2 linked regions of the Schizosaccharomyces pombe genome follow. Changing the gene in region 1 together with any one later gene gives a genetic interaction. Each region holds a gene or a part of one and is shown on either strand. Other genes may lie near its edges.

Region 1 (4,261 bases):
GAAACGAGGATTCACCTGACAGTTGGTCGGATTATGTGGCGCTCGACAAGCTGTTGCAAAATGGTGTAAACAGAATCATGGTTGAGGGAGGAGCAGAGCTGTTAGCCAAAGCTTTTGGGTCTACCGACATTGATGCTTATGTGGTTACCATTGTTCCCAAAATTTTTTCATGTTCCAATACGACGGAAATTAAAAACTTGAATAATTTAAACTTGACCACAAATTCCCATTGGTATCCATGCGGACCAGATGTGATTTTCACAAATTATTCCGATGAATTTTACGAATCCTATAAAAGCCTGTTAACTAATTCCGACGCTATTTAGTAAACTCCTTAGCGGGAGTCTTTTGGAATATTTAATTACCGAAACGGTGTATCTATTTTTTTTCGCTAAGGCTTTTACCTATTAAACAGATTGAATCAACTTTATTTGATTTTGCATATTTATAATTTTAGGTACAGAAATAGCGAAGTTGAAAGCTGTACCCTAGTAAGACAGTTTCAATCCGCCAGTCAACCTGAAAAATTTTAAAGTCCGTGGACTTATAAGCTACCCATATTTTTCGAATACTACAGTCACTCACTAAAATTGTCAACCATGTTGTCACGGGCCGGCAAGGTTGTTTGTATTGGAAGAAACTATGCGTACGTTGTTACAAGTTCAAGATTTATTGATGATTCGAAGATATGGTTACTTGGAATCAAAAAAGCTGAAGGTCCAAAACGTCACTGAATTGTCGAGGATCTTAAACTTTTATTTTACATTTGAAGTAGAATACTAATTTTATATTTAGTGCTCACATTCGTGAGTTGAACAACCCCTTCCCCACCAAACCTTTCTTTTTCCTTAAACCTACTAGTGCCATTGTTGAACCTGGCCATGGAAACTTAATAATTCCTCCCGATGTATCTGCTCATTATGAAGTTGAACTAGGATTGATAATGAAGGATCGCCTGCCTGCCAGACGTCCAGTATCTTCCAATAGCTGGCTCGATTCAATTGGAGCCTACTTTGTAGGAATCGATATGACCGCTAGAAACATACAAAATGAAGCGAAGAAAAAAGGTCTCCCTTGGTCCTTCGCGAAAGGTTATGACACCTTTTTACCCGTTGGCCCCATCATTCCTAAGCATCTTATACCTGATCCCCACAATGTCATTCTGGAATTGTCACTTAACGGCAAGGTGGTCCAGAAGGACAGTACATCTCTGATGTTAAACAAGATTCCTAAAATATTCTCGTCAATCACTGAGGCCATGTCCTTGAATCCTGGTGATTTGGTGCTAACAGGTACTCCAAAGGGCGTTGGTCCTGTGGTACCGGGAGATATTTTGTCTGCTCGGTTGCTTACTGCGCAGGAGCAGGAAATAATTCCTAGTAAATTTGAAATCAAAGCAGAGAAATGTGATTAAATATTTACAAACATGCAACTTATGCTTGCTTTGTTAACTCTTTTACCACACAAAACAACTTTTTTTTGCTTTCTACATGAAGATTGTTTCTTGCTCTCAACATATGATTTATTTGGTTACAATCCCTGAAATAAACTAATTAGCGACTATAGTCATGTTTACACCTCTTTTCGCTTTGCGCTATTTAATATTTTTCATCTTATATGGAAAAGCCCTTCTTTAAATACCAGATTTACTCGAAGTACCGTTTCCGGTAGTAAAACGCATATAGAAAAAATTTAGGGTAGCAACAATAAGGGATTTCTCATGGTTAATGAATTCTCACACACATGTTTTGCACTTCGTCTCTCTTGCATATTTACCATACAAACTCCGAACACCCAAGTTCCGCGGACTCCATTATTGGAAATTTTCATTAAATAAGTATAAGGAATGTGAAGGACTACTTTTAAAAGTACATATAAGATCGAGCTCGTACGAGATAAGGCAATATATTAGTAGCATTGCCGAACCAAGAATTTGCCAAGTCTGATCTTCGAATCTGAAAAAGAGTAAACATCAAGGCAAAGTCAGATTATCAAAGGAGTTAAGAGATTATTGTGTAATCTTGAATCAGTTTTCTTTAGGTCTTAGTAAATTCTTCATTATGTCAGCCGAATCTTTGTTACATAACACTTTCTCTACCGAGCAAATCGAGGTTCTTGAGAACGAGTATGCTGCTCACAACTATCATCCTTTGCCCGTTTGCTTCTCCAAGGCTAAGGGGGCTAAGGTTTGGGATCCTGAAGGAAGAGAATACCTTGACTTTTTGTCCGCATACTCTGCGGTCAACCAAGGTCATTGCCATCCTAAAATTATTGAAGCTTTAGTTGAACAAGCTCAAAGAGTTACTCTTAGTTCTCGTGCATTCTACAATGATAAGTTTGGTCCCTTCGCCAAATACATCACTGAATACTTCGGCTACGAGATGGTCATTCCCATGAACACTGGTGCCGAAGCCGTCGAAACTGCTTGCAAGCTCGCTCGTCTGTGGGGTTACAAGGCTAAGAAAATTCCCACTGATGAGGCTATCATCTTGTCTTGCGTTGACAACTTCCACGGTCGTACCATGGGTATTATTTCCATGTCAACTGATCCCGATGCTCGCGATAACTATGGTCCTTACTTGCCCAACGTTGGCCCTAAGATTTCTGGTGCTGACCGTGTTTTGCGCTACAACAATATCGAAGATTTGAAATATTACCTTGACACCTTTGGTCCTAAGGTTGCTGCCTTTTTGGTTGAACCTATTCAAGGTGAAGCTGGTGTCATGGTTCCTGATGATGGTTACCTTGAGGAAGCTTACAAGTTGTGTAAGGCCCATAATGTTTTGTTTATTGCCGATGAAGTTCAAACTGGTGTTGCTCGTACCGGTAAGATGCTTTGTATTGAGCACTCAAACGTTAAGCCTGACGTTGTTATCCTGGGTAAAGCTATTTCTGGTGGTGTTTATCCTGTCAGTGCTGTTTTATCTTCTCGTGAAATTATGCTCAACTTTGAACCTGGTACTCACGGCTCTACTTATGGTGGTAACCCTCTTGGTGCAGCCGTTTCCATTGCTGCTTTGGAGGTTGTTAAGGAAGAAAAATTAACTGAACGTGCTGCTGTTTTGGGTGAGAAATTCCGTACCGCTCTTATTGAATGCAAGTCTCCTATTGTTCAAAAGGTTCGTGGTCGCGGTCTTCTTAACGCTGTCGTTATCGATGAGTCTAAGACCAATGGCCGTACTGCCTGGGATCTTTGCTTGATCATGCGCTCTCGTGGTGTATTGGCCAAACCTACTCATGGTAACATCATTCGTTTCTCTCCTCCCTTGGTCATTACCGAGGAAGACTTAATGAAGGGTATTGAAGTCATTAAGAAATCTTTGAATGATCTTCCTACCATTGATATGACTCCTTACGCTGAGAAGCCTATTCATTAAAAAACAATGCTTTAAACAAAAAAACTAGACGATTCATTCTTACTTACCTCCCTTCTAATGTTAAGGGTTCGATGACTACAGACCTTCTGTAATTATTGGTAACAATCAGTTTATAGTTTCTTACTGATGTAAGATTTTGACAAGCTAATTTGTTGATAATGGGAAGTGGTTTTTTACTTTACTCAAGCAAAAGTTGTAATTTATTATATATATAAGCACCCATTTATTGTAATTAGCGGGATGTTAAAATAAAAAATTTTGGACAATTGGATACCTTTGTGAATGAAAATGATAATTTGGTATAGCTTAGTGATTCATATAAAATATTTATATTTCTTTTTTTTATTTCAAATTATTTTACTTTCGTGGGCAGAAAATATCAATAGTCCGCTTTATTTGCCGTACTGCATGTAATGTATAGTTGTTGAAGTTAAAATTCATATTACCACAAGTTCGAAACCACTTTTGTAAGCTAAACTAAGAGTAACGTTTGATTAACTTTGGCATTCTGTTTTACATTTAATCCTCACATCATTTGCATATGAAACGTTTTCATCAACAACCAGTACCTAGTAGAAACCACTGCAAGTGGAATTAAAGAATTATTGGTCATAGATGGATACAACACCAGATAATTCTGAGAAGAAAAAAACTTCTTCTGTAAGAGAAGCAACTTTTTCAATTAATGAATCATTTGGGGGTCGTCTGCTCACAGAAGAAGAAGATGTTTTCGAGCAAAATGCGTGGTAATACTAAACAAGTTCATATGAATTGCATAGTACTAATTTACTTTAATTGTTCAGGGATCATGTAGAATGGGATGATGAGCATTTAGCATTGGCCAAAAAATGTATAGAGGAACAAAAACTATATCCTGTAACCGA
Region 2 (4,063 bases), on another chromosome or scaffold:
AAAAGAACTATAAAGTAAGCAAATAAGCAAAATTATCCAATTTTCTATAAGACATTACATGTATATAATGTAACATGCAGAAAAAACCAAAAAAAAAAAAAAACTTTACTTACTTAATTGCTAAAACCTCTGCCAGCCAAAAAGGAAGTTCAACTTTAGAGCCCGTAGGAACCTAAACTGTTTAGAAAGTCAAGTTCTATTTTTATAAACTTCACTAACCATACGCCCTTCATGGCCTAGTCCTGGAATGGAAACTGTACTAGTACATGGAACCTTTTGATTTTCAGACAAGATACTATCAATATCATAGTAATCCATTTTTTTAATGTCTGAGCAGAAGGAATGATAGAAGTGTTATTGTTATTTTATCAAAATATGTTCATTTAGAAAAGTTGCAGTTACAAGGTAAAAGTAGGTAGATGCAACGATAAATTCAAATTTGAGTTGGCTAAGATATAGTGGATAAATAATGAACTGTAATTACACCAGTACTAATCAACAAAAAAAATAGAGATAAAAAAGATTTATTTTTACTTTTCTTAACAGAGCATCTAGTTCAAAAAATTAGTGCTGATAAATATTGTATGTTCGAGTACTAAAAATTTGCTTCAATGTTTAACTCGAAAAGTATGTCATACATGTGTATATTCGTCCTTCTGAAATTGGTCGAAAAATTTTATTAAAAAAAGGAAACTTTGTTCTATAGTTTCATTAAAGAAACGCATATGCTTGTTTGAATGTTATACCTATTTATGAAACTTGCTCATTATGCGATCAAAATTTACACAATCTTTCCGTAAAACTGATTTTTTTAAATGATTTTTAGTCCGTAATCTACAAAACATGATTGCATTGTATTCAAAATTATTTTGCGTATTAATTATTTAGTATGTCATTTCCAAATGCAAAAAGGTTTTAACACCGACATAGGCCAAATTTCATAAGTTATTCGCCAAGTTTCATCAACAGGTTCATCAAGTCATATACGCTTTAATCCATACTTTAGATGTCAACACCTTCGAGTTTATCAGCAATCTTTACCTGAGTAAATAATCAACCTGCTGCCAAACAATGTTGTAAAATCAAAGCAACAATTTGTTGTTCGTTTAATTAGTTACTCATAAAATTAAAGAGAACTCAGAGTTTACTTGGAAGGTAAATTAAATAGAAGTACCCCGCCAACTATAAACAATTAGTTTCAAAGGTTAAGCAGACTAGGATATACAGGAACTTTACATCCAAGACATCATCAAATATGCTATTCCCCCAATGTTATACGCAACAAATGGATGCCTTCGTAAGAATTGATATCGACGTTTGGTGAACACAGCACGAAACGTTAAAAACTTATTCACTACTTTTTGGAGAAGTACGCATCTTCCAAATGTCTTCACTATTCGGCCCTTGCCTAAACTTCATCCACTGCTGAAGACGCCGCTTACGAAGCCCTTCTTGAGCCTCTTCGTGAGCCTTCGACTTGGTTGACAGACACCATTTAAAGTCTTTAAAATTTCCCTTACATCTGTTGTATTCACCATAACGATAGTAATGATTCATTTGTGAGAACACTGTTAAACACATGGCCATTTGGTCAAAGTAATACTGTAAACTACACGGATCCTCAGGAATCCCTTTTTTCAAGTCGAGTATTTTATCTAGTTCCGCATACTGACCAAAAGTGCTTTTTTCATCATTTTCTTTAAAATTATTCATTATTTAAAAGCATACTAGTAAAAATCAAGTGAATTGTGCCTAGGATAGGTAGCTAACGTGACTGCCACTGAACCTGTGTAGCGTATTAGATCCATCAAGATCCCTTCTGCTCATATCATTGCTGATCTGTAAATTGACCGCATCAAATTTGATCTCATTTATATCGAGATTGATCTATATTATTTTGCCAATTTGCAGTATATAAACTTATTTGATTAAGTTTTTGGTCTCCTTCGCCACGTCTTCATTTTGTTAGTTTAAATTTTTTTGACTAACTTAGAAAGGGAAGTTTTTAAAAACGTTGAAATACTTTTTCGATTTAAAAATATATATTTAATTAATTTTCTGTTCCAAAATGGTTGCTCCTCATCTTTGGTTACGTGCTGAAACCAAACCTTTAGAAGAGCGCAGTGCTTTGACTCCTAGAACTGCCAAGATACTCGCCGATGCTGGATTTCAAATTACCATTGAGCGCTCTTCCCAACGTGCTTTCAAGGACAAAGAATTTGAGCGCCTTGGTTTCCCCATGGTTCCTGAGGGCTCATGGCGACATGCACCTAAGGACGCGTACATTATTGGTCTCAAAGAGCTTCCGGAAAATGATAACAGTCCTTTGAAGCATACTCATATTCAATTTGCTCATTGCTACAAAAACCAGGAAGGTTGGCGTGAAGTCTTGTCCCGATTCCCCGCTGGCAATGGTCTTCTATATGATTTGGAATTTTTGCAAGATGACAATGGCAGACGTGTTGCCGCTTTTGGTTACCACGCTGGTTTTGCTGGATCAGCTATCTCATGTTTAGTTTGGGCACATCAATTATTGCATCCTAACAAACAATTCCCTGCTATCCGTCCGTTCCCCAACGAAAAATCTTTGGTTCGCCATGTTGCTCGTCAAGTACGTTTAGCTTTGAAAAAGAATAACAACCAGTATCCTCGTATTCTGGTTATTGGGGCTCTTGGTCGTTGTGGTACTGGAGCGTGCGATTTAGCATCAAAGATTGGTATTCCCTTCGATAACATTCTTCGCTGGGACATTAATGAAACTAAGAAGGGTGGTCCCTTTACCGAAATTACGGAATCAGACATATTTGTTAACTGCATTTATCTGAGCATGCCTATTCCCAAATTCTGTACCGTCGAGTCGTTAAATGTACCTAACCGTAAATTGCGTGTTGTTTGTGATGTTAGCTGTGACACTACCAATCCTAACAATCCTATTCCAATTTATAATGTAAACACTACATTTGATCATCCTACAGTTGAGGTTAAAGGTGTCACAACTCCTCCTCCTTTAGAGGTCATTTCTATTGATCATCTTCCTACTTTATTGCCAAGGGAATCTTCCGAAGCATTTAGTGAAGCTCTAATTCCTAGTCTTTTGGCTTTGAAGGACGTCGACAATGCTCCCGTTTGGGTCAGAGCTAAAAAACTTTATGAAACCATGGTTCAAAAGCTTTAAAATAAATGTTATTTAATTTCAAAGTTCCGGGTCCTTTATATTGTTTCACCAAATTATTGAATATTATTTTCTCAAAAATTAACTTTAGAATACAATTTAGACGGCATTTTCGATGCTCTGGACATTTTTTCCACGTACTTGTTAAATTGTAGCGGTGTTGCATAATACTACCTTTTGATTTGTTATTCACGTTACAATATATATTTGACTAATTTAAATATGATAATATACACATTTCTCTGCAAACCTCCTTTATACTTTTCGCCGGTCATTGATTAATAATTAAGAAACAGGATTTCATCCTGCATTTGCCACTTACCTATATGGTAAATATAAATCTTGAAACTTTCCCCAATATTTATTGCTTGCCTTACGAAGTTAAATTATAGGCACAGACATCTTTGGCATTGGAAAGATTTAGTAACAATCATAATGTAGCACTTCTTAAAAAATCTAATTTTAGAACAAAAAGGCTTAAAAAAGAATGGTTCCGCTCTTTTAAAAAATAGTAAAATGTACAATAGCAAGGTTTTCGTAGGTCGACGGACATAACAAGGGGAAAGAGAAATAAAGCATGTAAACGTCAATAAAACATCTTTGATTCTGGATCAATCATATGCCAAATGAAGAAAAATAGCATTTATAACAACATGAAACCATATTTGAGACCTTTTAACGATGAAAATTTATTAAATAAAAGATAAAAAAGAAAGAAACCGTTCAAGTTCAATGAAAATTTCGTCGTGAAGTAGAAACCAAGATAATGGAAAGGCTTCGCAAAGCCACAAATTTTCCAATAGTCATTATAACTGAAGATTAAGGACAGTACTAACATCTGGAACACGAGCAAGATGTTCAAGAAATGGAATTAAATCGATTAATTCCATA

What was found. A genetic interaction does not mean that the proteins touch.
Region 2: mutations in car2 (region 1) and lys3 impair growth when combined (synthetic growth defect), as found in Schizosaccharomyces pombe (one study listed by BioGRID).

What each region holds. Positions count from the first base shown.
Region 1 is NC_003423.3:3,808,527-3,812,787, reverse strand, and holds car2 (ornithine transaminase Car2), read left to right. Parts: upstream 1-1,938; 5' UTR 1,939-2,060; coding exon 2,061-3,377; 3' UTR 3,378-3,729; downstream 3,730-4,261. Other genes in the region: rib7 (5-amino-6-(5-phosphoribosylamino) uracil reductase), read left to right, coding at 1-326; acylpyruvase Oaa1, read left to right, coding at 600-646, 796-1,414; trm140 (tRNA (cytosine) methyltransferase), read left to right, coding at 3,993-4,123, 4,181-4,261.
Region 2 is NC_003424.3:528,454-532,516, forward strand, and holds lys3 (saccharopine dehydrogenase Lys3), read left to right. Parts: upstream 1-1,825; 5' UTR 1,826-2,068; coding exon 2,069-3,175; 3' UTR 3,176-3,528; downstream 3,529-4,063. Other genes in the region: GINS complex subunit Psf3, read right to left, coding at 1-7, 114-172, 220-318; SPOM_SPAC227.17C (uncharacterized protein), read right to left, coding at 1,348-1,713; NLI-interacting factor-like phosphatase Psr1, read right to left, coding at 3,979-4,063. UniProt on the Schizosaccharomyces pombe protein: Catalyzes the NAD(+)-dependent cleavage of saccharopine to L-lysine and 2-oxoglutarate, the final step in the alpha-aminoadipate (AAA) pathway for lysin biosynthesis.